Oryctolagus cuniculus: one gene and its partners. The protein of the gene in region 4 interacts with the protein of the main gene of each other region in a pairwise test. Links are inferred from orthologs where the notes say so. Each region holds a gene or a part of one and is shown on either strand. Other genes may lie near its edges.

Region 1 (3,740 bases), on a different chromosome or scaffold from region 4:
GTGTGATTTTGGTTTCCCTTGCAGGGCTCTTCACAGTGCTTTGTCTGTTGGAGAGGTAACCTCAGTGCAGGCCTCAGAGTCATAATGACTGGGATGTGAAAGTCTTTTGATTACTGAATAAGTGCATGTGAACTTGGGCAAAATATTTAACAACCATCAAGTGGAAATAACAACACCTACTGTGTCTTTTAGACAGGCAGAGTAAACAGTGAGAGAGAGACAGAGAGAAAGGTCTTCCTTTTGCCGTTGGTTCACCCTCCAATGGCTGCCGCAACCTGCGTGCTGCGGCCGGCGCACCATGCTGATCCGAAGCCAGGAGCCAGGTGCTTCTCCTGGTATCCCATGCGGCTGCAGGGCCCAAGGACTTGGGCCATCCTCCACTGCACTCCCTGGCCACAGCAGAGAGCTGGCCTGGAAGAGGGGCAACCGGGACAGAAGCCGGCACCCGGACCGGGACTAGAACCTGGGGTGCTGGTGCCGCAAGGTGGAGGATTAGCCTAGTGAGCCACGGCGCCGGCCCCTACTGTGTCTTTATTGCAGTATTTAAAACATCCCTGGAGCCGGTATTGTGGCACATTAAGGTTAAGCCACTGCCTAGGACTCCGGCATCCCATATGGGAACCAATTCGAGTCCCAACTGTTCTACTTCCAATCCAGCTCCCTGCTAATGCACCTGGGAAAGCAGCAGAAGTTGGCCCAAGTACTTGTGCCCCTTCAACCACATGGGAGACCTAGATGAATCTCCTGCCTTTGGCCTGACCCAGCCCTAGCTGTTGTGGCCATTTGGGGAGTGAACCAACAGATGGAAGATCGATCTCTATGTGTGAGTCTCTCCCTCTCTCTGTAACTCTGGCTTTCAAATAAATAAATCTCAATAAATAAAGTAAAATATCCTCGCCTGGTGTGAGGCTGAGAAGCTGCTGCTTGAACTTCTAGTGTGTGGTGTTAGCCTTTCCTGCTCAACAGACTAAGACTGCTCATTGCAGTGTTTTGGTTTACCTATTTTTGTTCATTTGAAAGGTAGAAAGATAGAGATAATCTGCCTGCTGGTTCACTCTCCAAATACCTGTATAAGCCTGGGCTAAGCAGGCTGAAGCTAGGAGCTCAGAACTCAATCCAGGTCTTCCTGGTGGGCGGTAGGCCAGGTACTTGAGCCATCCCATTACCTTCCAGGTGTGTATTGGCCGGAAGCTGAGATCAAAATCAGAGCTGGGACTCAAACCCAAGTGCTCATATATGGGGTGCAGGCCTCCCAGACAGCATCTGCATTGCTGCACCAATTGCCCATCTATTTTTTTGTAGTTTTTAAAAAGCTTGCAAGATTGTTGCAATCTTATAAGTCTATAAATGAAGGGGCCACACAATGCTTGACCTAGGGTAGGCATTCAATAAATGGTAGATTGTAGTAAGTTTTATAAATTTGTTCAGGGAATAAAAATGGCTTCTAATCTGGCAAGTACTGCATTGCTGTTATATTGCAAGGAACACAGAATCTTTCCTACCATTGATGTGATGATGATTGTAACGACAGCCATCTATCACATACCTGTTTGCCAAGCAGTTTCCATCTCCTTTAATGTGCATAGCAACTGTTCGTTGATGGCATCACTCTCCAAACCCTTATAGATAAAGAAACTAAGGCATTGCTATGTTCAGTATCTTGTCTAAAGTCACAGGCTGCACAAGGGAAGTCAGTAAGTGTTTTGTTAAGTGTGCTTTCATTGTAGGAAAAGAAATATATGTAATTGCACATGGCAGGAATATGCCCACGCTACTTTGTGAACACATCTGTCATTAGCATTGTGACCTTTCTGTCCAGCCTTTGTCTAGTGTATCAGTGCTAAGATCTGCTTTTTTCACTTGGAACTGTGTATCTTTCTGTTACAATGTTTACTATACTTTAGGGAGGAACTTGACACTGATGAATATGAAGAAACCAAGAAGGAAACTCTGGAACAACTAAGTGAATTCAATGACTCGCTGAAGAAAATTATGTCTGGAAATATGACTTTGGTAGATGAACTAAGTGGGATGCAGCTGGTAAGTATGATTTTCTTAGATCAGTGGCAAAGTTCAATTCTTGTTTTCTTTTGTAAGTGTATTTCATACAGAAAATGTGTCCTTTTGGGCTGTCACGTCTAGATGAGTGTCTGCTTATGTATAAAACAGCATATCCTTCCAGATCTTCATGGAGTTGTGTGTTGGCTCCTGTAACATGCACAGAAATGTTTGCGAATGAAAATGGGCAGACTGAGCATTAAAGACCATCTGAGAGTTCCTGCGCGTCCGCTTGTTGGATGCTTTCCTTAGTCTCTGCCTTCTTCTGTGTTCAGGCTATTCAGGCCGCCATCAGCCAGGCCTTCAAGACCCCAGAGGTCATCAGATTGTTTGCAAAGAAACAGCCAGGCCAGCTTCGGACGCGGTTAGCAGAGGTAACGTTTCTTCAAATTGTCCTGGCTTCTGTGTGTGCTTTTTTTCCTAGCCTAATAATTTGCTGATTATGATAGTTTACAGTTTAAAAATTGGCCTCTTGATTTTTAAAGCCACAACCCACAATTTTCTGACAAAATGAGCACTTTGAGCAATTACAGTTGATAATGAATGCAGAGGTAAACAGTCGCTGGCAGTTTCAGTGGCCACTCACCACTTCTCCTTAGACCGTTTCTTTGATGCTTTGCCATCTGCTGCTGCAGCTCTAACTTGAAGTCCCTTTGAGAGTTCATCAGCACCATTGTTGCTGCGCATGTGTGGCCTGTCTCATCTGAGAATTTCAAGCATTTTTATAAACCTGATACTTCCCCAGATGTCTTCATAGACTTGACTGTAGTTAAGGATTAACAAATAGGGGATGCTGTTGTAGTGTAACAAGTGCAATACTGGCATCCAGTATGGGTGCTGGTTTGGTCCTGGCTGCTCTGCTTCCGATCCAGCTCCCTGCTAAGTGCCTGAGAAGGCTGCAGAAGATGGCCCAAGTGCTTGAGCTCCTGTCACCCATGTGGGAGACCTGGACAAAGCTCCTGGCTCCTGGCTTCTGCCTGGCACAGCCCTGGCCATTGTGGCCATCTGGGGAGTCAACCAGCAAATGGAAGATATATCTCTCTCTGTGTGTGTCCTTTTATGTATCTCTGAATTTTAAATAAATAAATAAATAAATCTTTTTTTTTTTAAATTAGTTGTACCTACATGTATTTCAGTAGCATAGTCTTTAAGGACATAAGGGATAGGTGTTTGGCCAGTGTTTGAGTCACGGTTTGTGATGCCTGCCTCCCATGTTGGAGTGCCGGATTCAAGTCCTGCTTCCAGTTCCAGCTTCCTGCTAATGCACATCCCGGGGATCAGCAGGTGGTGACTGAATTACTTGGGTCTCTGCCACCCACGTGGGGGACCTGGATTGAGTTCTGGGCTCCTGGCTTTGGCCTGGCCTGCCCCAGCTCTGTCTGTCGTGGACATCTGGGGAGTTAACCAGAGGATAGAAGTTCTATCTCTGTCTGCCTTTCAGATAAAATGAAAATAAATAAATAAAATTTTGTATAAATGCAGGGTATAGATTTGGGTCAGGCTGACTGGATTTCAGTCCCTGTTCCATTTGCTAAAATATGTGACCCCAGGCAAGTTATTTTATTGAACCTCTTGTACCGCAGTTTTCCTGTCCAGAAATGATTATAAGAATCAAATGAAGTAATGTACAAAAACACTTAGAATAGTACCAATGTATAGAATATGCTATTAGTGTTTTTTGG
Region 2 (3,904 bases), on a different chromosome or scaffold from region 4:
CTTGTCCTGGCTGTTCCTCTTCTGATCCAGCTCTCTGCTATGACCTGGGAATGCAGCAGAAGACGCTTGGACCCCTACACCTGCGTGGGAGACTCAAAGAAGCTCCTGGCTCTGGTTGTTGTGGCCGTTTGGGTTGTGAACCAGAGCAAATGGAAGACCTTTCTCTTTGTCTCTCCCTCGCTCTGTGTAACTCTGCCTCTCAAATAAACAAATAAAATCCTAAAAACAGTGGTTAATGAGTCTTCTCCTAGAGCTGCTGAATCAGAAATTCTGCCTCTGAACAAGCCTACCAACAACTCCTCCAGGGGTTCTGATGATAAAGGTTGGGAGCTACGGATCTGCAGAATGGTGAAGTCCCTAGAATGGGGAGAAGCTGTATATCACAGTCTTAGTAGGCTCTGAAGATTGTTCAGTAACTTCGTGGGTGGCATTTAAATTCCATGTCTTCAGTTTCAGGTTTAAGGCTCTGTAGAATGGCTCACCATTGCATCATATTCAAGTTTCCAGGTACTACCCACGGAATTACAGCTCCCAAGCTCCTATAAAGCACTGGCAATTGAGGAGTGAAAAATCTTTCATAGTGCGAACAAAGATATACGCAACGAACAAGGGATTAATTTCTAGTGGCAGTCTCCTAATTTTGTATTCATAGCGTTGTATGCATGCTAGGCTACATGTGCAACATCTGCTGAAATACGTCAGGTAATTGGGCATCCAGCAGTCCTATTTGCATGCAAAGGTGGTTGCACACCTCACATTTACAGGTCTAAAATTAAAGCCCACTTTGAAGCTGGCTGGAGGCTCTCAGAGAGGAAAATAAGGAGATAAAGAAGAAATGGCTTCTGCTAATCAGTACTTTTGGCCTCTACTGTTCAATCCGTGCTAATTTGCTCTTTGAGATTGTATAGTCCAGGTTGAAGAAAGGGACTTCTAAGAGTATCTGGCATTTGTGTTAAAAAATCTAGTTATAAGCTGGTTGTGTTTCTCCATAGCATTCCCCGTAAAACTGTACCCACATGGTGTGCTGCCGTCTGTTGCTGCGCTATAATTTTGAATTATGGAGCATTCGTATTCTTGTGGGACCTCACACACTGTACCGAGAAGGGCCACCCCAGCACAGACTCAACGACTGGACTCGTGGCATCATTTGGACTACGCGTCAGTTGATCATGGTGCCTGCTCTCCAAAGCTCATACTATTTTAACAGCTTCCCAATGTCTCAGTCTTTAATACTTTTGGTTAAATGAAGTCTTCCTCTATGAAGACCTTCCTTGCTTCTTTGTCTCCTGATTATGCTCCTATGTGTGCCCAGCAGAGAGAAGAACCTGGTAGGCCTATGCCCAGAAAAGTCGAATACTAATAGCACAAGACTGTGTCCATTTGAATACTTAGGTACATCTTCAAGAGGAGACGGCCTGTGCTCTCAGTGTGTGGGAACAGGGAATGCACCAGTGTTTTTTTGTCTGCCCCATGTGGCTCACAGGGAAGAGCATGCCAGTTTTAAAGGGAACTTAGCCACAAGTACCACCTACAAGAACAAAGAAGTCCTACAAGGCCATTCTACCAAGACCCAGTGGTGAAGCAGTCACTTGTCACATCACTACTTTCTAAGAGCATACTTCTAAAAGTTCATGGAAAATGGACTTAAAAATAGGTTTTGTGTCTCAGAATTTGAAAACTGAGTATGAGAGGTTTTCAAAGTGTCCTTGAAAAATGCATGTAATGAAAAGGAGAGCATGGATTTCAAAATTTTTTTGGCACCAAGATAAACTTATCTTAATTACATTTTCTCAGAACATATTGAAGTACCCCTGTATTTCTGTGTTTGGCCACATCCATTTGTCTTGCTTTGACAATTAGATTGTAAGGTCCTGGAGAGCAGATCTGGGCCTTAAGAATACCATCTTCTACAGTACCCTGTCTGCTGCCTTATGTGTGCTGGTTTTTCTTATGATAATAAGCGATTTTTTTTCCCTCTTCATTCTAGCACAGGAGCATATACCTTGATAGCACCAAATGAACACCGGAGAAACCAGATACAAAGGAGTATGTATGCTTATTCATTTACCATTCAAGTACCTCTCACTTTCTTTCCAGTCGGTTGGTTTTGGTCTGAAGTCTTTTTATCTTCTCATTTGTACAGGTGCACCTGATCTCATCAAAGTTTTTTTCTTTTTAACTTTGGCAGTTTTAATTGTGCCTGTCAGAATGATTCTGCTGTTAACACTTGTGAATCTGTTTCGCTACAAGAGTAACAGAACTCAGTACTTTTTTGGATTTCTCTTGGGCTTACGCAGCTTCACAAGTTACCTATATACTGAGCTCATCCCTGTAAAGTTAGACAGACTGCTGATGCTTTATGAGTACTTTTGAAACAGACAAGTGAGATGCCAAATTGATCATGACATGATTTGTACCTTTCTTGGTTTGTCCCATTCCTCTGCGATACCATTTTTCTTTATTCTCTGCATGCCCATATTTTGTAACCATCAGAATCTACCTCAGCTGTTTTCTGTATTTATTGATGGTTTCCAGCTGTTTTTATTTGTGTGGTTCAGTTTCCTTCTGTTAGTTATAAACTCCTTGAGGACAGGGACCACATCGTACTTGGTTTTGTACTTAGTGTCTATATAGTATGTTTAATTGAAATATGGGAAATATAAATGCTACCATTTGGACTTAGCATAGCATCTTTCAGAACTGGAAGGAGAAGTTCATTTACTTCACAAGGACATCTGAGGCTTGTTCAAGTCAAGCTGTGGTGCTAGGACTGAACTCCAATGCTCTTTATTAGATTGTTGATGGGAGATTTAATTTTGCGATTAATGATGGACATAAGGGCACAGCAGGAAAGCAGCTCTCCAAAGCCCTCCTCTCCCAGGCAGGTAGCCCCCTGTGTGGTACAGTTGGGTAGTACAGCTTATGAGAATCATAGCTTCACAGACATTTGCTATATATCTATGGGTACTGCTGGCGGTAGACCAGCAGAAACCCAAAAGCTTTGGCATCTTCAAACTTTTGACTTAAATATTTAACAGGATTCCTTCCTTCCTTCCTTCCTTCCTTCCTTCCTTCCTTCCTTCCTTCCTTCCTTCCTTCCTTCCTTCCTTCCTTTCAATAATCGTATTATAAGCGAGCGTTTGGATTAATCAGGTTTAAGAGAAAATTAGGGCATGCCCTGGGCAGAAAACAGGGCAGGTGTCTCTCTGGCGCCCCCTGCTGTCACACTCCCTGGGGAATAGGTTCTGCCTAATGGTCCCCAGTGTCAGGAACCTGAGCAAGGGTGCCCACCCACACACAGACCCTTGTGCCCCACAGTTGCAGTAAGCGTGGGGGGACACTTAAAGCAATATGGGCACCAGAATTCTCTGGGGGAAATGTTTACCTGTGTGTGAAAAGTTCTTACTGGCATGTTCTAATATTCTAATTGTCAGCATATTTTCTATAGGAACCCTTTAAAACTAAGCAAGAATGGGAAGAAAAGCTATACTCCCTCATTTTAGTAGAAATGCTGGTTGTGAAAATTCTTGTAGAGGAAGTGCCCCAGGCGTGGGCCCAGGGTGGCCCGGAAGGGGTAGGGCTGGAGGGTGTTTTCTTACCCTGGAGAACATATCCACTCATGCTTGCTCGAGTTCATCGCCCTCTGATGGTGGTTTTATGCATGAAGGTGCCAGTCTCCTTTTCAGCGTCTAACGATGGGTGCTTTGATTTTTCTCACTTTGCTTAGTTGCTGAGCAAGAGCTGGCAAACCTGGAGAAGTGGAAAGAACAGAATAGAGCTAAGCCGGTGCACCTGGTGCCTAGGAGGCTAGGTAAGCAAGCAAACTCGGTGCCTGAATGGGTGTGGGGGAGGGGAGGGCAAGGCCCCCAGGGATCCTGCTAGCCCCTGTGTGTCTCTGTTTGAA
Region 3 (4,534 bases), on a different chromosome or scaffold from region 4:
AAGACTTACACACCTTATTTTGGGCCAGTGTTCTGGCACATAGGTTAAGCAGCCACCTGTTGTGCCAGCATCCCATGTGAGTGCCAGCTGTGTCCCACCAACACCGTGGCGGCTGCTGGGCTTCCAAGAAAACGGCCCAAGTGCCAAGTCCCTGCCCCCCCACGTGGCAGCCCTGGATGGAGTTCCAGGCTCCTGGCTTCCTTGCAGCCATTTGGGGAGTGAACCAACTGAAGCTCCCTCTCTCTCTCCCTCCTTTCACCTCTCTTTCTCTAACTCTTCCTTTCAAAGAATTAAATTAAATTAAAAAAAATTTAAAAAAAAAAAAACACCAAAGGCAAGCGAAACAACAGGCCTGAGAAATCACTCAATGGTGAGCCCTGCAGGGCTGCAATTCACAGGATTGCAGGAGCTTCTGAACCCGAGCCCAGGCTACACCATAGACCAAGGTAAGTCAGACGCCCTGGGGGCTGAACCCACGCAGCAGAGCTTATCCCCTGGGGTGGTTCTGAACGCGCAGCCCAGGTTGCGAGCCACGGCCATCAGTCTTCGTGCACTTCTGGAAGGAGAGACCAGGCTCCACATCCCTCACCGCCACTCTCGCCCCTACACAGCTTTCCCAAATACACCTACACAAGGTCAAGCATGGAATGCAATGCTTTCCTCCTACCTGGAGCCACGAGGATGCTGCTGGGCATTTAGCGAGCTAGGGCTTTCGTGCACGTCGCACCTGCGCCGGGCCGCACAGAGGCCCCCACCCCCCCCCCACACTTGTCCCATCTGCTCGGGGTCCTTCGGACCTCAGGGGCCGGCTGGGAAGGCGGAGGGCACGGCGCGGGGGCCGCCCACCCAGCTGGGCAGGATCGCGGTGGGGAAGTCCCCAGCCGTCCCCGGAGAGGCCGGGCGCCTGCAGGGCTGCGGGACGCGAGCCTGGAAGGACCTGGTACTTACGCAAGTGCCGCCCAGCTTGTGGCTCTCCACCACGGCGGCCCTGGCGCCGAGCTCGGCCGCCCTCCGGGCGCTCGCCAGCCCGCCCGAGCCGCCCCCGATCACCAGGTAGTCGTATGCGGTCACGCCGGCCGGCGGCGGGCGCTGCTCCCGTGCGCACGCCATGGCGCGGCTGAGGGCGCGCAGGGCCCCGGCGGGGCCGCTTAAAGGCGGCGGGAGGAGGGAGGCGGCGCGCGCCACACACAGCCGGCCGGGTCCCGCGCGCGCGCTCACGGCCCGGGGCAGCAGGGCCATGCACGCGGAAGTGGCGGCCGGGGGCGGGTCCCCGGCGGCGGGGGCCGCGGACCCCGGGCCGGCGCAGCCTCACCGTGACTAAGCACCCGCGGCGGGGGCGGGGGAGCGCGCGCTGGGGGCTGGGGCTCCCCGGGAGGCGGGGCGCTGCCCGGTCCGCCTGCCGCCAGCTCGGCCGGCTGCACCTGCCCCGGCTGCAGGGCCCCGTGCTTTCTCCGCCCCGGGCACCTGGACGCCGCCGGCACCCGGAGGTCCCCGAAGGCGCGTGGTGGCCTCTGGGAAGAGAAGTTCGTCCCACCCTGTTATTTTCGGGGTTGGTGCTTCTGCACGGCTGTGTGGTGAGCGCCTGCGGTGCTGATTCCTGGGCCCCAACCGGGGGGGGGGGGGGGGGAGGCGCGCCCCCAGGAAGTGTCGTTTTAAAGGACACTTTCCCGCCTTCTGCTGATTCTAATAAAAGCATGTAGCGTGAGAAGCATTGACATAATGGGTTGAATCAAAAGCACGATTTTTGTGGTCCACCAAAGAAGTATAGAGAGTAAAGGTGGAGACACAAACGTGTTGTCCTGGGCCGGTTACAGTCGCGGGACAGGGGCCTCTCATATCGGATTGCCAGGCTGGAAGCCCAGCTGCAGCCTGCTAACGCACCTGGGAAGGCAGGGGAAAATAGCCCAAGTGCTGGTACGTGTGCCGCCCACGGGGGACACCCGGATAGAATTCCTGGTTCCAGGCTGGCCTGGCCCAGCCCCTGCCCTTGGCCAGGATTTGGGGAGTGAATCAGCAGCTGGAAGATCTTTCTCTCTGCTTGTCGCTCTGCCTTTCAAATAAATAAATGAATTTTTAAAGAATTGTTATCCCCCAAGATGTGAGCTTTGCAATATCTAGAACTACCAATTACACACAAAAAAAAGCCTAGGTGCCTTGAATTTGTGTCTTGACAGGCCTCAATCCCTTGCCCATTGCCCACAAGGACATGAGTGTCTAGCCCAGGCTGGCACAGCCTCATCATGACCAAGCACCAGGCTCACCATGACTAAGCACCTGGAGGGGTGAGGCTTAGATGCCTAGAGGCAAAGAAATGAAGGTCGAGGTCAGAGAACAGCTAGGCCCAACGCAGGGAATGGAAGCCCGTGGCTCCCTGCTATTGAACATCCTGGAAACTGGTGGGAGGAGTTGCTATAGAACTTCAAAACTGGATCTTCTGGCAAGACCCACTGACACCCAGTGTTCGTTGCCAAGTGCAGGGCAAGGACATAGGCAGATGATGTGCAAATCCCAGACTCCCCAGGGGAGTACAGGTGGTGAATCTCAGAGTTCAAGGTTAGGGGTGAGTGGTGTGTGGTCAGTTCATCTGTGGGCCTTCTGTTGGTCCCCAGTGTGTGTGGCCATCTTTTGGTCAGTGATAGAGACCAGCAAGCTGCCTTTGAAATAACAAAGGTGGGCTCCAACCTGTGTGGGGCTAGGGGTAGACTGGGTACTGGTTTCATTGATCAGGGCCTAGGTGTTCTTGCAAAAGCTCTCAGAATTGAGACTACCATTGAGATGTTAACTGGAGGGTCTCTTACCCTTTTGCCACTTTGTAGTTTAATGGGTTTATCTTTAGAAGAATGAAACCTAGGGCCTGATAAAGTGAGCATCAGGGGCATTACGGATAAGAAGCTCCACTTCAGTCCCCTCTTTTCCTTTTCTCTCCTCAATCTTGAGGTGTATATGGATCATTCTAGCTGCTTCTTGCTGAAATGGAGCATGGTAGGAGGTTTCAAGACTGGAGGAGAGGGGCCTGGCACTGTGGCGCAGTGGGTTGAGCTGGTTCCTGCCATGCTGGCATCCCGTGTAGGCACCAAGTCCCAGATGCTCTGCTTCCAATCCAGCTCCCTGCTGATGCACCTGGGAAGGCAGCAGCAGATGGCCCAGTGCTTGGGCTCTTGTTTGCTACCCACATGGGAGACCTGGATAAGTGCCTGTTCCTGGCTTTCAGCCTGGCCTAGCCCTGGTGGTTACAGCTATTTGAGGAGTGAACAAGCAGATGGAAAATCAATCTCTCTCCCTCTCTCTCTCTCTCTCTCTCTCTCTCATCCTCTCTGGAAGAGAGGAAGTTGGGAAAACCCTTTTCAAATTAGGTTCAACTCAGGAGAGTCTGCATCGTGATGAGGTTTGGCTGAGGTAGTGTCTGCATGATTTGCAGGTCTTTCATCATTTCAAGCAACAACGTATTAATATTCCTACACCCAGAATGCAAACCAGAAAGATCAGTAGTTTGTCTCCAGGGACTTTGATTCTCAAACCAAGTGTAGAGCTATTGGTTAAGGCTCAGTGTGGAGTCAGACAGCACTGATGTGGGTGGGCATATCTTGGAGAGCTAGACAGATGTTCCCAGAGTGATTAAAACATCCTGTGTGAAGAGGGCACACATCCTCCCTTGGGTGACCGTGAGGATGTTTGAAGTTGCAGTCATGTGGTTTGGAGGACTGCCTTCCTCAGTACATAAACTTTATTATTTAACAAGAACAATCCTCTTTGCTTCTAAATAACCCTCTAGGCACATAATACAGAAAAAGCATACTTAGTATGAATGCTCACTCTCCTACCTCTTCTAAGGTACAAAGCAATGATGAGGGTTATGACTTTAGCCTTTTGGGCCAAGGTCCCTGGTGGCAATGCTTTTCCTTTCAAAGTTTCCTGGAAGGTTGCTACTACATATTCAGCCTTTTCTTTTCCTACTGTTTCCATCCACAAAGAATATCTCAGAACTGGAGTCTCCAAGGAGACATTGGTCAGGTTCAACCTGCGGGAATATAGCGTTCAACAACCCATAAGCAGTCACATGTGGGTTCTCCAGAGGGGCTCAGAAGCATGGTGGCTGGGTTTAAAGCTGATGGTTTTTACAGTAATATTTAGGTTGTCAAATGTTTCGGTGTGGGATTTCCCCGGGTGGCTGGAAGGGGCCCCGATCTCCCTGTTGTTCCGAGAGGCTGCATACGGTGAGGTAAGCTGCCCAAGTGAACTGCTTTGCCTCTTGCAACAAACACATCACAAGTGGCCACGACTATCCTCAGACAAGGCAGGCAGCCTTGGATGCTAATATCCAGATTCTCTGAAAAATATGCCATCTGGCATTTCCTTTTTCTCAGATTTTGAGTCCATACTCTGGGTCTTAATCCTTACCTCATGTGTACAAAGGAGCGCAGTAGTCAAAGGGCTCTTTCTCAGTGTGGCAATCCCAGTGTGGGTGCTTTATATAGATCCTGGGGTGAGGTGTGAGGATACCAGTCATATCTAGCAGGCTTCATTCTCTTGAAAT
Region 4 (3,904 bases):
TGGTGAATGATCTCAGCTTCTTGAAAGTGACAACTGAATTGAGATTTAGGCAACCTTGGTTTGGGTGAGGAGGGATTTGGGTTTACCCCATGTTTCAATGTTTTCTGGTTTTGGTTTTTTGGAGTTGTGTGCCTTTAGAGAAATTACTGTGAATCTCCTTTTGAACTTCAGCATTTTTCTGAAGGTTCCAGATCTGTTAGTGGTTTTTCTGATGATGCTGAGGTTTGTGCTTGGCATTCAACAGGTTTATCCTTTAAGGAAGGAAGCACTAGTGCTTCTGCCTCATTGTGACCCCAGGCTTACCTCCTTGAACCCTAAGGGAAGTTGTTGACTCATTTTATTTCCTGGGAGGCAAAGAGAGTTTGTGCTTTTGCTAATCATGGTGACTATTAATAAATAGTTTGTGACAGATATTGTATTTGAAAGGCAGAGTGACAGAGAGAGGGAGGGAGACAGAGATCTTCCATTCTGTGATTTACTCCCCAAATGGCCTCGATGGTCAGGGCTAGGCCAGGCCAAAGCCAGAAGCCTGGACTTCATCCGGGTCTCCCGTGTGGGTGGTAAAGGCCCAAACACTTGGGCCATCTTCCACTGCCTTCCCAGGTGCATTAGCAGGGAGATGGATCCTAAGCAGAACAGCTGGGACTTGAATTGGCAGTCATATGGGATGCTGGCTTCATAGATGGTGGCTTAACCTACTGTACCACAATGCTGGCCCCACATTTCAATATTTGTTGTCTAGCTAAAAACAATAAGCCTGTGAGATAGGTACTACTATAGTCCCCATTTTACAGGTAAGAATATCAAAGTCCAGAGAATTTAGCTAATTTGTTCTGCCAAGATCACAATTAAGCAATGGCATGGTTGGAATTCAGACCTAACAGACTGAGTACCAAAACCCTGCTCTTAACCACTGTTCTATACAGTCAAAGACTATTTTCATTTCTCTAATGCAGAGATGGAGGATGTCCAGCCTGTGGGCCATAAAAGGCCTATGAAATCATTCGGTTTGGCCCTGCTAAGTCAACTGCTGGCAGGATTTGAAATTCAATAAATCTATAGCAGGCTCATTTTTAAGTTGATAATTTTGTATGGCCTACGAATGATGTTATAAATATCTGAAAGGCTCTTGGCAGATAAAAGGCTCTCTACTCTTGTAAAATTGCTATGCAACCTTTATTTCTGTTATGTCTTCAATTATTCTTAGGCCATAGTTCCCTGACCCTGGGGCAAGATTACTTGGGGCCTTCCAGCTGGGACATTAGTACTGAAAATACTAGGAGCTGCTAGAACGAGGAATGTAATATATACTAGATATTGCTCCTTGTGACCTTGGCTGAATTTCCTTCCTTTGAGCTCTGCTGCAGGGTTGACTTCATCTATCTATTCTTTTTTCCCTAATTATGATTTTTAGACTGGTGGGCCTTTCAGGTTGGAGTATCTGTTAGCACTGATTTCACTTCCTCTTTCTAGTTCAAAAGGTGATGACTTATCAACAGCCATTCTCAAACAGAAGAACCGTCCCAATCGGTTAATTGTTGATGAAGCCATTAATGAGGACAACAGTGTGGTGTCCTTATCCCAGGTAAGTTGGGTCCACAGTCCTGTCTTTCCTTATGGTACTTACTTGAGGGATTTTCCCAGGTTTCTTCTCTCATTTTTCTTGCAGTGACCGCAGATAGAGTGGGGTTTACTGGGAATCCCAACCTCCAGGGCTGCTGCTTACCCCCTTCTGCCCAGTGACCCAAAGGCCTTAACCTTCTTTCCTCAGCCCAAGATGGATGAACTGCAGTTGTTCCGAGGTGACACAGTGTTGCTGAAAGGAAAGAAGAGGCGGGAAGCTGTGTGCATTGTGCTTTCTGATGACACATGTTCTGATGAGAAGATTCGAATGAATAGAGTGGTTCGGAATAATCTTCGCGTACGCCTAGGGGATGTCATCAGGTGTGTGTGGGGGATTCTTGGCCCCTCCGGGATGGGAGGCCAGACATAGCTTGCATTATAGCCAGGATGAAATCTTCGGCAGCTGCAGTTAGAGGAAGCCTCCTGGCTGGGAAGACTCATATTTTGTTGTTGTCTTTAGGTTTCTGTTCTGCCTTTCTGAGACTTCAAAATCTGCTGCTGCATGACTTTTTGATATGTTTGTTTTTTCCTACCAGAAGTGTAACCCACCATACCTTAGACCCTGGTTTTGGATGCCATTTGAGGGTGTCTCTCTGCCAAATAACTTCCTCACTACTGTGTTGAATTAATGGCTTGTATTAGGGACTGGGAAGGGAGTGTAGATCTGGGTATGGAAGGTGGGTGCCTAGCAGGTCTTTTTTTTTTTTTTTTTTTTTTTTTTTTTTTTTTTTTAAGATTTATTTGAAAGCGTGGCAACAATAGAGATCTCTTGCATCTTCTGTTTAGGCTGGGCCAGGCAGAAGCCAAGAGCCTGGAACTCCCTCTGGGTCTCTCACAGGGGTGGTGGGGACTAGGTACTTGCACCATCATCCACTGTGCATTGGCAGGGAACTGGATCTGAAGCAGAGTAGATAGGACTCAGACTGGCACTTGCTGCTCCATAATACCAGCCCCTTCTAGCAGGTTTTCAAGGATCCAGATCTAATGCAGGGTAGAGGTATCTCCAATGTGAGTGATTTTTTTCTTGTTATATAAATGTAGGCAAGAGGCTCTCCCATCTTGGAGTCATCTCTTGCCACTGCTCCCCAGCCACCCACCATCAGGCCAGTATCATCTGAAGCATCTGATTCTTTTTCATGGAGTCTTGGGGATGGGGGTGGAGGGAGGGTATTTAGGCACTTTATCAAGGTGTTCTGATTTCCTGGCTGAGAACGTTTTTAATTTTTTCACTTCTATTTCTCTGAACTTTGACACCAGATCAAGATCTCCCTTTGTAATAATGGGTTACCAGTGTTAGTTAGAAGGACTATCTTTGGATATCTTTCTTTGTAGACCCCACATGTCGTCTTTGTGAGCATTCTAAATGTTCTTTATTTGGGCTCTTTGACTAGGATTTGGCTGCCCTAGTGGCTTCTCCTCCTGTCCTACCCTGAATGTGACTTGTCTTAGTTCTGCTTCGCTGTTTCTTTGCCTTTACTCCTACCCTGCTTTCCTTTCTTTCTTCACCTAAATCCATCTCTGTTTTTCTCTTTGAATTGCCATCAGCTGTCTGTGCCAGGCCCTTGTGGACACACAGTGCTGGTGCTGCAGTGCAGTTGGTAATGTGGAGTCTGCTTGTCATCCTCAGCATCCAGCCATGCCCTGATGTGAAGTATGGTAAACGGATCCATGTGCTGCCCATTGACGACACAGTGGAAGGCATCACTGGCAATCTCTTTGAGGTGTATCTTAAACCGTACTTCTTGGAAGCTTATCGACCCATTCGGAAAGGTAAGTGATAATTCTGGGGATTGAGCTTAAGGATGATTAGAGGGATACTTGGAAAATGAACCCCGCAGTGTTTCTGTATTTTTGGTCATGCATGCATCCTTGTACATGTTTCTATGTTTTCTTTCCCTCTATCTCTACTCCAGGAGAGTAAGCTATCCTTTCATGTTTCTTGGAGGGAGAAAGTGGTCCATTTTGGCTGTGTCCACAGTCCAAAATGTATAGCTGTACAATTGGTGGTTGTAGTAAGAGCTTGAGCTGTCTGTACCTCAGAAGTTAAAACTTTATGGGCTTAGGACACATCAGGTTTTATTCATTGCGCTCTTAAGTAACAGTGGGACTTTTTAGGGATTAGCTTTTTAACTCTTGCTGTGTGCTTACTAAGACAGTGGAGGGTGGGCAGGGAGCTAGGGCTATGTCTAGTGAACTTGGTAGTTTAGACCTCAGGATCTCTTGAGAAATTCTCAGTCTTCTAGTTAACACTTCTAACTGTGCTTACACTTGTTCTTTTAGG
Region 5 (4,547 bases), about 180 Mb from region 4:
TATGGAAGACCTCCTGAGTCCCATGCTCCAGTCCTGGATGCAGGCAGAGCCTGTGCGCTGGGCCTCTCGGACTGCCCCTGCCAATTTACATTCTACGATCTCTCTTTGCTTTGAGTTTTTCTGTTCTTCCCCTGCTTCTTCCACACTCACTGATCCTGCGGGTCCCCAGGAGAGCAGCATGCACTCCAGAGCAGGAGCCAGGGCTTGCATTAATTTCAGTGTCTTTGTATCTTGCAGTAAAATAGAAAAGCCTGCATCTGAAGTCCTGTGCATCCTAAGCTACAGCAGATAGATTTCCCCACCCCTCCCCCATCAGCTAATTTTTTAAGAAGACCCGCCACCCCCCGTGCTCAAGTGTCTGTGGTTAAGCCTGGGAATGTTGAGGGCGCAGGTTTGGGAATTGGATAGACACTGCCACCTGGTAGAGTGACCCTGGGCCAGTTCCTTTGAGATCCCCTCCCAAAGCTACTTCTCTAACTTGATTTGCATAACGACAAGCTGCAAACCTTCAGCACCTGCCTGCTGCAACCGCTCCTAGCAGGGACCTCGTAAACCTATCACGTTTCTGTAGTGGCAATTCCTGTTCCTAAGACACTCCTGCCCTCATTTGGCAGGTGGAACAGCCAGGAGCCTGCCTCAGGCTGTGTAATTTGCAAGTCTCTGGGGGTGCAGGGCCACAGCTGCCCTTTGCAGTCCAGTCTCTGTTGTGGCCTTGGACTTTCTTTATCTTGGTGTTTTCACAGTGATCTGGAAACATTTCCTGGTTCTGGCCTCCCACAGTCCTGACCTTCATCTCTTCCTTAAAATGGGTGGTGGTGGTGGTGGTGGTGGTGGTGGTGGGGAGATGGGCTTGGAATAGCTTGAGTTCCTGGACCTCATCTAACAGGCTCAAATCGCCCCCCCCCCCCGGGAGTTTTTGATAAGGAAATGGCCATACAGGCTAAGGAAGACCCCGGCTCACTTGCTGTGGGCTCCGGTACCAGCCAGGCAGCTGCTTAGGCCAGCTATCTCACGCTGATCACAAGCTCGGATGGGCAATTATATATGTCTTTGATTAATAAAAAATGGGGCCATGAATGAATAGTTAATCAATGCAGTCTGGCAGGAAGGCTCTTGCAGAATCTGGGCTGGGGGTGAGGCAGAGTCATCAAAGGGGGCCTTGGGGGTGAGAAGGCAAGGCCCCCTGCAGGGAATGGTTTCCAAAAAGCCTTTCGGTTCTGGGTTCTTGGTTCCTCCGCGGGATTTTCCGGCGGCTCTGGGAGAGACAGAGAGAGGGTTGAGTAGGTGGGCAACATGGGGAGATCCATGTTCAGGTAAAGCTCGCAGAACGCGGTGTGTGCCTTACCTCTGCGGGGCCGGCGCACCTGTGTCTGGAACAAGCCTTAAACTAACTCGGCTCAGGGCGGGAGCGGCCGGGGAGCCGGGAAGCAGAGACACTGCAGGGACGGAAGAGGGTTGCAGAGGGAGAAGAATACGTCCAAAAGGGCTAGTGAGAGCGCGGGCGAAGGGGAAGGAAGTGGTGGAGAACCAGAGGCCTGTCCCAGCCCCTTCCGGGCAGGCGGGCGCGGGCGGAGGCGAGCAGGGCACCGGGCGGGGCGGTGAGAAGCGCGAATCTGAACTACGACGCGCGCGGGAAGAGCGCGGAGAGCTGCGGCGTGGAGCGGGCTGGTAGGAGCGCGGCAGGGCCGGTCGGCGGGCAGCGGCGCCCTGCGAGGAGTGGGCGTGGGGGCGCTGAGACTGGGCAGACCCGGGCCCGGAGGGCAGGCAGCGCGCGGCGGGGGGCGGCCGCGGGTAGCGGAGCGCTGCGCGGGGCGGGAATGGCCTTGGGCACTTTCTTGGGGGGGGGGGGGGAGTTGGTGGATGGAGTCCTAGGCCCGGGTCCTTGGGTGCTGGGCTGTTTCTGGCGCTAGCACAGCCTGCGTGGTGGTGAGTAACTAGCGTGTGACCTTGGACAAGTTTCCTGATATTCCCTGGAACTTTGGTCTCATTGTCAACCAACTGCAGATAAGGAAACTCCAATTTTGCCCGGCTGTTATGAGAATTTGGGTGGGCGCAGACACAGCCCCCTAGTCCCCTGGCCTCACTCAGAGGGGCCGATGGTATTTCAGTGGACAGAGCTCAGAATCGGAGCTCAGCGCCGGGCCTGCTCCCTCACCTGTTGCTGGCAGAACTCTGCATAAGTCATTAAGGTCATCTTTGTCCTGAGGGTGCTGCCCTCCTAACACGGGTGGGCATCTTGCTCCTTCCTGCCACAGAGAACAGTTTTCCACCTGAACTTTCCCTCCGGCAGCCTCCTGTTTCAGGCAGCCTCTGTTTATTTCACAGGCTCTGTTTTGTGCCCAAGCCGCAGACAGAACCAGAGAACTCCAGGAAAGGAAAGGCTCGCCAAAGGAATTTTCCAAGGGCTCAGACGCCAGGACTTGAAGCTGCTGTGGTCAGCCAGGGAGGACAACGTGGGCTTTGAGGCTCAGTGCCTGGGGCCATGGTGGGCCAGGCCCTGCCCCTTCACGTGGCCACCCTGCTGACAGGGCTACTGGAGTGCCTGGGCTTTGCCGGCGTGCTCTTCGGCTGGACTTCCCTGGTGTTCGTCTTCAAAACAGAGCACTACTTTGAGGAGCTGTGTGAGCCGCCGTCTGGAACACTGGGCAACACCACTGGTAAGGAGGGTGATGCCTTCTCCCCGGAAGCTGAGTTCTGGCTCCACCCCTGTGCCTCCTGCCACCCCTTCCTGCACCCTGGTCTAGGGGGGTGCCCGGGAGAGGATTTAGGGACAGTCACATCTCCAGGCAAGCTGTCCAAGTCGGATGGAGGGGATCCTAGGGCAGGTGTCACCGGGCTGGAGGGCTGGGAGGATGGGGCAGTGTGGCCAGTCTGCCCTGGGCTTCTGAGCCTCCCCTTCCCCCTTCTAGATTGCAAAGCCCAGGATGAGAGGTTCTCGCTCATCTTCACCCTGGCGTCGTTCATGAACAACTTCATGACGTTCCCCACCGGCTACATCTTTGACCGATTCAAGACCACTGTGGCCCGCCTCCTAGCCATGTGAGTCCCCCCGGGGCCCCGCGCGTCTAGTGGTGTGGGCAAGAGGCATTGGTCAGGCTGGGAGGGAGACCAAGGTTAGGCAGCTGGGCAGCCCTGCTTGGCCCCGAGCCAGCAGCTGGCAGACACAGCTGTGAGGAGCAGAGCTGGCAGGGCGTGGGGCCGCCCCGTTCCCACAGCCCTGCTTCCCTCTCCTCGCCTCCTTCCCCTACTCCACAGCACTGCAGCTGTCTTCTGTATCTAATTGCACAGGAGCCCGGGCTGACTTTCCATGAGGGCTGCCCAAAGGCCTGAGTTGCGAAATTAGCAACTGCTCTCTGCCTTCTCCCTGGATCCTTTCCTCATCTCCCTATGAAGCCTCACACCCGAGGCTTCTCCTCCTCCTAGTCACCCTCATCACTCAGTCATCACAGAATGTTGTGGGTACCTCCAGTGGTGGAGTTTCAGGCCCCCCTTGTGCTACAGGGGGTGAGAATAGGGCTTCCCATGCAAAGGAGTGGGGGAGGCCAAGAACTCGTGTGCTCCTGCATCCTGGTCTCTGTGGTGGGGTTTGGTGATAAGCAGTGGCCTGCTGGGGGCTGATAGATCCCAGGGAGGCGGGTGTGAGATCAACTGGCAGAGGGAAGCTGGGGGCGGGGCGGGGGGGCGCAGCTGGACCTGGACCAGGAAATAGCTGGGGAGTAGAGCAAGTCCCTTTAGGTGCAAACTGACTGACTGTCTCGGTCCTTCTGGTCTTTGGCTCCCTGGATGCTCTTCTTCCTGCCTTTCTCCAGCAGGGTTCTCAGGGTCCTGCCTCTCTTACCCTCTGCCTTAGAAGATCCTCCTACTCCCCCGTCAGCTGCCAAGGGATTCCTGTAACCTCGGGATGGTGGTCTTGAAACTGTAGCGCTCTAGAACTTTAAGCTTGGAGTCTAGATCAGTCCAGCCATTCCCTCCCTCCCTCCCTCCATCCCTCCCTCCCTCCCTCCCTTCCTTTTCTTTCTCTTAGATTTCTTTTATTTTATTTGAAAGGCAGAATTACAGAGGCAGATAGAGAAACAGAGAGAGAGAGCTTCCATCTGCTGGTTCACTCTCCAAATGGCCTCAATGGGTAGGGATGGGCCAGACCAATGCCAGGAGCTTCTCTCCTGGGTCTCCCCTGTGAGTGCAGGGGCCCAAGCACTTGAGCCGTCCTCTGCTGCTTTCCCAGGTGCATGAACACCCAGGTGCATTAACAGGGAGCTGGATTGGAAGTGGAGCCCCAGTGCCCATATGGGGATGCTAGCACTGCAGGTGGCGGCTTTACCTGTTACATCACAACACCAGCCCCAGGTTTCTCTTTTCTTGACAATATTCTCCATGCCCTATTCTGTATTTCAGATTTTTCTACACAAGTGCCACCCTCACCATAGCCTTCACCTCTACAGGTGAGTGTTGCCAAGTGTGTGAGAGGGACATGGTTCTAGAGATGTCTAGTGAAGCAGGTGCAGGAGGTAGCAGGCAGGACATATGGACCTCATGGTTACTCTGAG
Region 6 (4,498 bases), on a different chromosome or scaffold from region 4:
TGTTCTCTGACCACAAAGCCAGAGCCAGCACCCCACAGCCTGATCTGAGACACTCCACCACCCCCCACCCCCCACCCAGGAAAGCTGCTCTTTTCCCGGTTGGTCATCACACAGGCTGAGCTAGCCCAGGTGCGCCACAGCCGTGCACAAGGACCAGGGATGTGGCTGCTCCTCCGAGGGCCACCAGAGAGCCAAGAGCAGCTTAGGTTGGGCTGAGTTCCGCCCCTCCCCCACCAACTCACCTCCCCCAGACAGCTGGGAAATGACACCTCTGGTGACAGAGCCGGTCCCCAGGCTTCTGCCGGGAGGGGGTGGGGTGCGGCAGTGGAGGAGGATCTCACACCGCAGGCCCTGGGAAGCCGGCGTGGGGGAGGGAAGAAGCTGGCTCCTGTTTGTCTCACAGATCAAGGCCACCAGTCTCCGTCCCCCACTTCCAGGAATGTTTGAGCGCCCCCACCCCACAGCCATCGCCCCCCCCCCCCAAATGCTTCCTCTATCCTGGAAGCTTGCCTTGATCCTGCCCACTCCAGAGGCACAGCTCACCCGTGCCCATTTTCTCCTGCAAGCTGGCTGGGACTACGTGCAGGATTTAGGTGGAGACCAGTGATCGATGGCCTAGGAGGGGGACCATCTCCTACAAGCTATCCCACTGCTGCCGTACATATTTAGTCCTAGATGTGTAATGTGTCGGAGATCCAGAGAGAGAAAAGGAGCTGCCCGGGGGACACATCCAGGAGGCTAGCCCACGTGTAAAGCAGCACCACATAGCAGTGCCACCCTTGCCTGCTGTCCTCCTTCCTCCCAAGGTAAAAAGCCCCCGGCCTGCGGCCAGGTTCAAAGCCAAAGCCCTCGCCTGTCCCGCAGCAGCTGACTCCAGTCTGGGGCACAGCTGGGTCTGTGGCCGGCCTAGACGTGACGATGTCCCCCCCCGGGGGGGTGAGTGCGGGGGGCAGCATGCGCCCTCCCCCTGGGTCTGCTCCAGCTTTGCCTGCCCCTGCTCTGAACTTGGCAGTTTCATAGCCTGCAGCCCCTCGGGGATTTGGTTGGAGGCGGGGCCTGGGGAGGGGAAGGGTCCTCCTCCTCCTCCTCCTGCTCCGCAGGGGCCCCAAACCTCCCTTCAGCCATCCACCTGCCAGGTGACAGGTGGTCTCAGCGCGCATCACCCCGCTCCTCCACTCTGGCAGGAGCGTTCCCGCTCTCCGCTGGGCCCTTCTGATTTCCCCACGCCCAGCCCATTGCGAGTGCCGAAGCTGGGGGGTCACCAGGCATTGCAACCTGGCCAGGGCGAGACCTCGGGCCACGGGGCTGCGGACTGGTTTATCGGAGTCACGGGAGAGGGAGGAGGTGGCCTAGGGTGAGGTGCGGGGCTCCGCGGCGGAAGGCCGGGTAGCAGGGGGCTGCGAGCCTCCAGGACGCGGCGGCGCGGGGGTTTGGGGAAAGCCGCAGCAGTCAGCCAGGGGTGGCGCGGAGGGCGCGCGAGGTGCGGGGAGGGCGCGCGAGGCGCGCCGCGGCGGCCCCGCCCGGCTCGACCCCCGCCCCGCCGGGCCCCGCCCCGCCCCCGCGGCCGCGCTCGCGACGTGTCGCCTGCGAGCCCCGCCCCCGCCCGCAGTGCCCGGGTGCGGGTGACGTGCGGCCGCCATCTTCCCGTCCCGGGCAGCCAGCGCCAGTCGGAGCCAGCGCGAGCCGCCGCCGCTGCCGCCGCCGCCGCCATCACTGCCGCTGCCAAGTCCTCCACCCGCTGCCCCCGCCATGTGAGTCGGCCGGCCGCCCGCCGTCCGTACCGCGCTTCCCCGCCTCGGCCGCCGCCCTGGGAGTGGACCGCGCGGGGAGGGCCCGGGGTCCCGCCCGCGCCCCCGGTGCTCTCGGGGCCAGCCTGGCGCCCGTGACTGCGCGGCGGGCCGGGGAGAGCCCCCGCGGCCCCCGGGCTGGCCGGCGCGGGCGATGGCCGCGCGGGAGGGTGCGGACCCAGCGTCTGCCTTGCCCCGCCCCGGCCCTGTCACCGCGGACGCCTGTCATCCGGTGTCGACCCCAGACCGCGTCCGTGAGGTCGCTCTCATTTGGCAGGCGGGGAAACTGAGGCCCGGAGGGGGGAGGGGGCCTCGCTCAAGGTCACTCAGCTCAGCGGCGATGGGGCTGGACGGAGACCAGGGCTCCCATCGGGCGGCCTTCCTCCCGAAAAGGAGGACTGGAGGGACGACGGATGGACAGGTGGATGGGCGGAGCCCTGGCCGCGGGGCCGGAGTCTCTGGACCCTGGGCCTTAATCTGCGCCTGCTCCTCAGGTCTGCTACCGCTGCCACCGCCCCCCCTGCCGCCCCGGCCGGGGAGGGCGGCCCCCCTGCGCCCCCTCCCAATCTCACCAGTAACAGGAGACTGCAGCAGACCCAGGCCCAGGTGGATGAGGTGAGTGTGAGCCGGGTGGGAGGCCGCAGGCCAGAGCCTGCAGGTGGGCACGCAGGTGTGGGGCCCATCGCGGGTTGGGGGTGATGACAGTTCACAGCTGTGGGTGTGGGGACAAAGACATGCCGAGCCTCCTCCCTGCCTTCGCGTCAGCACACATTTGGAAGGGCGCTGGGGTGTCAAGCAGCCTTGCTAGCCTGCGGTGTGCCAGCCTGGGCAGGTTTGCCCTGGTGACTGACAGGCTCTCTGAGGGTCGCTCTGACATCTGAATGTGTGGCTGCCAGCATGCCCCTGATGTGTGCTCCTTGCATGTCCCCAGGTATGCTAGGCATGTTCTCTGTGTGTCCTTGGCATGTTAACTTGGCGGTATCTGGGTGCATGTTCTGTGTATGGCACCCTGGGCACACGGTCAAGGAGTGCCCTCGTTTCGGCGGGCCTTGGCACACCCCCTGCCTCCTGGGCCCCTCCCCCAGGTGGTGGACATCATGAGGGTGAATGTGGACAAAGTCCTGGAGCGGGACCAGAAGCTGTCTGAGCTGGACGACCGCGCCGATGCACTCCAGGCGGGGGCCTCCCAGTTTGAAACTAGTGCAGCCAAGCTCAAGCGCAAATACTGGTGGAAAAACCTCAAGGTGAGGGCGGGGGCGGGAGAACTGGGGGGTGAATGGAAGGATGGGGGCTTGTCTCACTGACCCTCCCCTCCCGCCCCCAGATGATGATCATCTTGGGAGTGATTTGCGCCATCATCCTCATCATCATCATCGGTGAGTGGGGCGGGAGTGGCCGGGGCCCCTTCTCTGGAGAGGCTCCCCCCGGTGGGTGCAGTCTGGGATGTGAAGGTCACTAACCTAGTCTTCACTCTGGCAAACGCCACATAGCTGCTTAGGGAGCTGTGGGTCCTAGAGCCAGAAAGCCTGTGCAGCCTGCCGGGTGCCTGACTGTTGGCAACGGGAAAGCCGGTGGATCTCCCACTACTTCACTGAGCATCCTTTGGGCTTGAGAGCCCAGTTTGGGAACTGGAACTGGGGAGTGGGAGGCGGAAATGGAGACATGGCCAGGAAGCCAGTCCTGCCGCTGTCTGAGAGCTGGTGAATTGGGTGGGGGTGTGGCTCCAAAGCCATCCCGTGGAGGCACCCATCTGGCCAGCCCCTTGCTTCACAGATGGAGAGACTGAGGCCTCGAGCTGGGGGAAGGGGCAGCAGCCAGCCAGCTAGGGGGTGGGGAGGACCGCAGCAGGGCCGGGCCTGACACCCAGCTCTCTCTCTCTCCCTCCCTCCCCCCTCCCTCTTCCTCTTCCTCTTCCCTCTCTCCACAGTTTACTTCAGCACTTAAATCCCCGAGGAGTCTGCCCTGCCTAGAGAAGGGCCTCTCCCCCACCCCCAGCCGTTCCTCCACCTCTCAGCCATATCTCTCAGCCCCTCCCCGGATCCGTGTGTGTGTGTGTGTGTCTGTGTGTGTGCCCCCTGTAAATAGCCAGCTGTTATTTATACATATATAATATTATATATATTTGGTCTGTTTGTAGTTTTATTACTAGAAGATTTTTCCGGTTGTCCTTAACACCCCTTCCTGAGGTGTCCCCGTCCTCGCCTCTCTCTGTCCCTGTCCCCCCCTTTCCCTCCTGACCAGTCCCAAGTCCCCTCATTTGCATCTGCTATGCAACAGCCCCTCTCCTTCCCCCATCCAGCTGATCCTTCCTTGCCTTCCCCCTCCTCCCCCTCTGCACTCCTCCCACAACAGACAAAAGCACCTGGCCAGGCCTCCCTACATGCACCTTCTTTGCATCCATTGGGAGGCCCTGAGACTGGCCCCACTTGGTCCTGAGAATCCCAAGATCTTCTGGGAGCTTCCAGCGTGTTAATTAGCAGATCATTTGCACACCAACATCCCTTTGGTTTCCTTGTTTTTTGTTCCATCACTCTTCTTTGAACCAATTTCTTTCTTACTGGAAAGTTAGTCCCCAGTAGTCCTTGTGTCACTCTTATTTGCACGACATTACTTACAGGCGGTGGAGAGCCTGGGCTTTTTGGGGAACTGCCCACTCCCAGGCCCTCTAGTCGTTTGCCGCCCCTACCCCCATTTCCCAAACCTCTTGTGCC
Region 7 (4,625 bases), on a different chromosome or scaffold from region 4:
CTTCAACTGTGCAGTCACAAAGGCAGGGAGGGCCTGGTATGCCTTACCATAGCACTTCCAAGAAGAGTGCCTAGCTCATTGTACATAAATACTTGATGAAGGAATAAAAAGTTCCACATGATTCTTAGGATACTTTTTTAAAAAATATTATTTAAAAATGTTTAGTTTCAGCATAGTTATAGACACAATTCTTAGAATGATATTCCCTTCCTCCCTCCCTCCTCACTCTCCCTCCAGCTGTCCCTCTCTTTCTTGTTTTTAAGTTTTTGAGATAATATCTTTTTAAATATATTATTATTATGTTATTTATATAACAGTAAAAAGACTTAATGCTTCAACAAATAAGAAGTTTAACAACTAAATAAATTATACAAACCCTTAACTAATAGTTACTAGGAACCATGCAATTCCATTAAAGTATTAAATGTCAATCATTTTTATTTGAATGGCAACGAACCACAAGTACCTTACGTTGATTACAGGCTGATATTATCCCATAAAACGGGAAGTGAGATAATTTTCTTTTGTACTACCATGGAAAGTGGCTGGAAAATAAGTCATTATTCTCTGATTTTGTGTTTCCTTTGGTGTAGCCATAGTTAGCCTTTTTTTTTTCTTAAGATTTATTTATTTATTTGAAAATCAGAGTTACACAGAGAGAGCAGGAGAAGGAGAGAGAGAGGTTTTCCACCTGTTTGTTCACTCCCCAGATGGCCGCAATGGCCAGAGCTGTGCCGATCCAAAGCCAGGAGCCAGGAACTTCTTCCAGGTCTCCCACCCAGGTGCAGGGGCCCAAGGACTTGGGCCATCTTCTACTGCTTTCCCAGGCCACAACAGAGAGCGGGATCGGAAGTGGAGCAGCCAGGTCTCGAACCGGTTCCATATGGGATGCCGGCGCTTCAGGCCAGGGCGTTAACACACTGCGCGCCCGTCCACTCCGTCTTTGTCCGGCAGGTACCGCGCAGCGCCAGGCCGACGTCATAGGGAAGCCCAGCCGCTTCACCTTCCACTGCGTGCCCCAGGAGGACGGCAGCAACCCGGAGCGCACCGTCATGGTGGGCGACCGCCTGGATACCGACATCCTGCTGGGCGCCACAGTTTCAAGGTTTTGGAATGATCTTTACCCGATGTCTAGGAAATTCAGGGTCTTTATTGTACCAGTGTCTCCCTTCAGGCTGTATGGTATTGCAGAGAGACCGTGGTGGTTTTTATCCTGTCTTTTCTACAGGACTGGGCTCAATTCAATAAAAACCGAAGCCTGGCAATAAATTCCTACAAGGCCTATTTAATTCCATGCGCGGACACATTCCTCCACTTTCAGGGTTTCAGTGAGGATAACAGAGCGGCACTGCCTTTCCTCCCTCCGTCCTTCAACGCGTAGTGGCTCTCAGTACTGCCCCCTTCAGTCGTGTCTCAGTAGTCACATTTTTCCACAATATGGAGGCCCACAAGCCCAAGAAGACTACAATTCCCGTCATGCCTCTCGGCAGGCGCCTCCAAACAAGCCGTAGCGGTTACTCATCCTTCCTCTGCCTCCTTCCACTTCCTGGTCTGCGAGACCTGAGGTTCTAGCGGGAGCGCGCACGCACTGACTCGCCCACGAAACAAGGTATTGGGGCCCTGAGCCGGCGGCGACGTGTGGCGTCACGTGGTACGGGGCGGTCCCCACGCGCGCGCTTGCGCACGTCGCAGTGGGCGGCTGACGGGCGTGCGCGCTAGTGCGGAGCCCGAGCCGGAGGCGGGGGCCGGACCAGCCGGGGCTGCGGGGGCTGCGGGGCCGCAGGGCCCGACGAAGCGGTTGGGCGGGGCCAGCTCCTCCGGGACCGCGGCGACTACACCCCGACCGAGCGCCAGGGCCCGACAGGAGCGATGTTGTGGTTCCAGGGCGCCATTCCGGCCGCCATCGCGTCGGCTAAGAGGAGCGGCGCGGTCTTCGTGGTGTTCGTGGCAGGTGAAGGGGGCGGGGGCCCGAGGTGCGGCCGGGACAGGCTCTCCGGCCTGCCTTCACCCACTCGTTAGTTCAGCCGCCGGTCTTCCGTCCTCGAGACGCGGGCACTTCTCGGCTCCGCGCCCCAGGGTCGGCTGCAACTTCTCCCCGCTGGGTGCCCCGCAGCGGGCGTGCAGACGCCCAAGGCCAGGCTCCTGCAGGCCGCAGGCGCCCGCAGCCTTGCCTTCTTGTCCGGAAGGGCACGGGCGGCCCTGTCTGGGAGGCGGCAGGCCTGGCAGCCAGGCCAGAGGCCCCGGCCGGGCTCGGGCGCCCTCCTGCGTGCGGCGGGCGGACCCTGGCGCCCCTCCCCGGGCCCGAGCACCTTCCTCGGATGCCTGAACGCCCGTTGATTCCTCCTCCGTGGGTGGGGGAGGGACGGGCCATTAGGCGAGCAGTTGGACTGCTAATTGGCTGTGGGCTGTCAGGGAGAAAGCTGTGTCATCGGTTGAGCAACAAAGAGAAACCACCTGATGGTCACGGTTGCGGGCGTTGGTGTGCTTCTGACATGTAAACTTTACAGGGGCTTTTTTTTTTTTTTTTTTTTTTTTTAACGGCAGTATTGAGAGAGGCTGCCTAATGTGGATACTCTGCTCCAAGTGGAATTTTTTTCGTCCCCCTGTCGGTCTAAAAGTAGTAGACATAAAGTCTTTGGTTCTTCTTTCGGTTTTCCTAGCCAGAGTCCACATAGTTTTGAGAACATTTACGAACTCATTTACCCTAAGCTGCTCTCGATTATTTTGCCCCACGTTTTGCTGTTTTATTTTTGAAATTTATACAGATCTAAGAAAGCTTCCTCTATGGCTTTCCTTGACGGCTGTTAATGTAAAATGTATTTCTTCAATTATTTGTGTTTGATAGTGGCTTAGAATTCATTTCACGACTTTGAATAGTTCTATAACTTGATACACTGCAATGAAAACCAAGTTGCTGAAATATTTTACATTAATATTTTATTAAATTTTTGGCTGCATGTTGTTTCTTAGAAAAGCTTGAGTAGTTTGTCCTCTGAGGGGAAAAGAAGTGGATTAAAAATGAAGTTAAATGACATGATTTTTAAAAATGTAGTAATGAGTTGCTGATCCTTTAAATTGTATTGTTCATGTAAAATCCCAATTGATCTTCGTGATAGGTAGAGCAGATTTTATTATTCCCAATTTACAGATGAGGAACTTAGGACCACAGTCATAAAATGATTTGCACCGAAAAGAATTTACATCTTAAATTTTATTTACATTACATTTTTTAACAGCTTCAGAAAAAGTGTCTTTCTGTTTTTCAGGAAAAAAACTAAACACTTAAATAGTCTGTTTATGTATTAATTAAGTTGATCAGGAAATCTAGGATTTTGGTAATTTTTTTTAAAGATTTTATTTATTTACTTGAAAGGCAGAGTTAGAGATCTGCTATCTCCTGGTTCACTCCCCAAATGGCCACAACTGCCTGGGCTGGGCCAGGCTGAAGCCAGGAGCCAGGAGCTTCTTTCTGGCCTCCCGTGAGGGGGCAGGGGCCCAAGCACTTGGGCTATCTTCTACTGCTTTCTCAGGCCATAGCAGAGAGCTGGATCAGAAGTGGAGTAGCCAGGACTTGAACCGGCACCCATATAGGATGTGGGCACTGCTGATGGTGGCTTTACCTAACCTACTATGCCACAGTGCTGGCCCCATGACTATGAAATATTTGCTGAAGACTACTAGCTATCTAACAAAGAAATCTGTCCCTAGACCTGTTCCCGAAAACAGCTTTTAGAGTTTAAGCTAGTTAATCCCCAGCACTAAGTAGGATTAGTGTCGTTCTAGGAATGTGTACGCTGGGCTCATGAAACTAACGCTTACAGATTGCCTGAAGCTTTGTTCATTACTTTCCTTCCTTCCTTTTTTAAAAGATTTATTTATTTACTTGAAAGGAAGAGTTAGAGCTAGGGAAAGACAGAGATATCTTCCATCCACTGGTTCACTCTTCAGATGGCCACAGTGGCCAGGGCTGGGCTGGTCTGAAGCCAGAAGTTTCATCTGGGTCTCATGTGAATGCAGGTACCCAGCTATTTGGGCCATCTTTCCCTGCTTTGCCCATAACTTTGAAGAATATAGCCAGAACATCACCTTTTTTTTTTTTTTTTTTTTAGATTTATTCATTTGAAAAGTCAGTGGGAGAGAGATCTTCCATCTCTCCCCAGATGGCTATGACAGCCCTAGTCCAGGCCAGGCCAAAGGCAGGACCTTCTTCTGGGACTCCCATGTGGGTAGCTAAGCACTTGGGCCATCTTCTGCTTTTCCCAGGCTGTTAGTAAGGAGTTGGCATCCACAGTGCAGATGCTGGCATTGCAGGCAGTGGCTTTACCCACTGTGCCACAATGCTGGTTCCCAAGATGAATTTCTTAGATATGAGACCTCAATAATAATTTACCAACTCACTGGTAAATTAAAAAGATATATTATAGCTGGAAAAAGTGGCCTGAAGGCTAGACTTACTGTTGAACTATTCAAATGTGAAGCATTTTAGGCAAAAGTTGTTTTATTTATTTTTAAGATTTATTTATTTCAAAGGCAGAGTGACAGAGTAAGGGAGAATCAGAGATCTTCCATCTGCTGGTTCATTTCCCAAATGTCCCCAACAGCCAGATTTTGCCAGGTCCAAGCCA

The links.
Region 1: the proteins of VCP (region 4) and LZIC interact in binary tests that used the Homo sapiens proteins (3 or more experiments, as listed by UniProt). The link is inferred for Oryctolagus cuniculus from reciprocal best matches to the Homo sapiens genes VCP and LZIC.
Region 2: the proteins of VCP (region 4) and EPSTI1 interact in binary tests that used the Homo sapiens proteins (3 or more experiments, as listed by UniProt). The link is inferred for Oryctolagus cuniculus from reciprocal best matches to the Homo sapiens genes VCP and EPSTI1.
Region 3: the proteins of VCP (region 4) and UBXN8 interact in binary tests that used the Homo sapiens proteins (3 or more experiments, as listed by UniProt). The link is inferred for Oryctolagus cuniculus from reciprocal best matches to the Homo sapiens genes VCP and UBXN8.
Region 5: the proteins of VCP (region 4) and SLC43A3 interact in binary tests that used the Homo sapiens proteins (3 or more experiments, as listed by UniProt). The link is inferred for Oryctolagus cuniculus from reciprocal best matches to the Homo sapiens genes VCP and SLC43A3.
Region 6: the proteins of VCP (region 4) and VAMP2 interact in binary tests that used the Homo sapiens proteins (3 or more experiments, as listed by UniProt). The link is inferred for Oryctolagus cuniculus from reciprocal best matches to the Homo sapiens genes VCP and VAMP2.
Region 7: the proteins of VCP (region 4) and UBXN4 interact in binary tests that used the Homo sapiens proteins (3 or more experiments, as listed by UniProt). The link is inferred for Oryctolagus cuniculus from reciprocal best matches to the Homo sapiens genes VCP and UBXN4.

Annotation. Positions count from the first base shown.
Region 1 is NC_091438.1:158,243,298-158,247,037, forward strand, and holds part of LZIC (protein LZIC), read left to right. Parts: intron 1-1,904; coding exon 1,905-2,040; intron 2,041-2,333; coding exon 2,334-2,432; intron 2,433-3,740.
Region 2 is NC_091440.1:62,128,189-62,132,092, reverse strand, and holds part of EPSTI1 (epithelial-stromal interaction protein 1), read left to right. Parts: intron 1-1,987; coding exon 1,988-2,046; intron 2,047-3,727; coding exon 3,728-3,811; intron 3,812-3,904. UniProt on the Homo sapiens protein: Plays a role in M1 macrophage polarization and is required for the proper regulation of gene expression during M1 versus M2 macrophage differentiation.
Region 3 is NC_091433.1:80,756,330-80,760,863, forward strand, and holds the start of UBXN8 (UBX domain-containing protein 8), read left to right. Parts: upstream 1-1,404; 5' UTR 1,405-1,574; intron 1,575-4,534. Other genes in the region: GSR (glutathione reductase, mitochondrial), read right to left, coding at 949-1,239. UniProt on the Homo sapiens protein: Involved in endoplasmic reticulum-associated degradation (ERAD) for misfolded lumenal proteins, possibly by tethering VCP to the endoplasmic reticulum membrane. May play a role in reproduction.
Region 4 is NC_091432.1:198,031,986-198,035,889, reverse strand, and holds part of VCP (transitional endoplasmic reticulum ATPase), read left to right. Parts: intron 1-1,473; coding exon 1,474-1,585; intron 1,586-1,669; exon of another isoform or gene 1,670-1,771; coding exon 1,772-1,944; intron 1,945-3,250; coding exon 3,251-3,393; intron 3,394-3,903; coding exon 3,904-3,904. UniProt on the Homo sapiens protein: Necessary for the fragmentation of Golgi stacks during mitosis and for their reassembly after mitosis. Involved in the formation of the transitional endoplasmic reticulum (tER).
Region 5 is NC_091432.1:14,692,500-14,697,046, forward strand, and holds the start of SLC43A3 (equilibrative nucleobase transporter 1), read left to right. Parts: upstream 1-1,500; 5' UTR 1,501-1,668; intron 1,669-2,290; exon of another isoform or gene 2,291-2,325; 5' UTR 2,326-2,482; coding exon 2,483-2,657; intron 2,658-2,909; coding exon 2,910-3,039; intron 3,040-4,395; coding exon 4,396-4,442; intron 4,443-4,547. UniProt on the Homo sapiens protein: Sodium-independent purine-selective nucleobase transporter which mediates the equilibrative transport of extracellular purine nucleobases such as adenine, guanine and hypoxanthine.
Region 6 is NC_091448.1:52,651,979-52,656,476, reverse strand, and holds the start of VAMP2 (vesicle-associated membrane protein 2), read left to right. Parts: upstream 1-1,591; 5' UTR 1,592-1,749; coding exon 1,750-1,751; intron 1,752-2,281; coding exon 2,282-2,402; intron 2,403-2,872; coding exon 2,873-3,031; intron 3,032-3,111; coding exon 3,112-3,163; intron 3,164-3,714; coding exon 3,715-3,731; 3' UTR 3,732-4,498. UniProt on the Homo sapiens protein: Involved in the targeting and/or fusion of transport vesicles to their target membrane. Major SNARE protein of synaptic vesicles which mediates fusion of synaptic vesicles to release neurotransmitters.
Region 7 is NC_091434.1:107,844,742-107,849,366, reverse strand, and holds the start of UBXN4 (UBX domain-containing protein 4), read left to right. Parts: upstream 1-1,675; 5' UTR 1,676-1,869; coding exon 1,870-1,951; intron 1,952-2,515; exon of another isoform or gene 2,516-4,625. UniProt on the Homo sapiens protein: Involved in endoplasmic reticulum-associated protein degradation (ERAD). Acts as a platform to recruit both UBQLN1 and VCP to the ER during ERAD.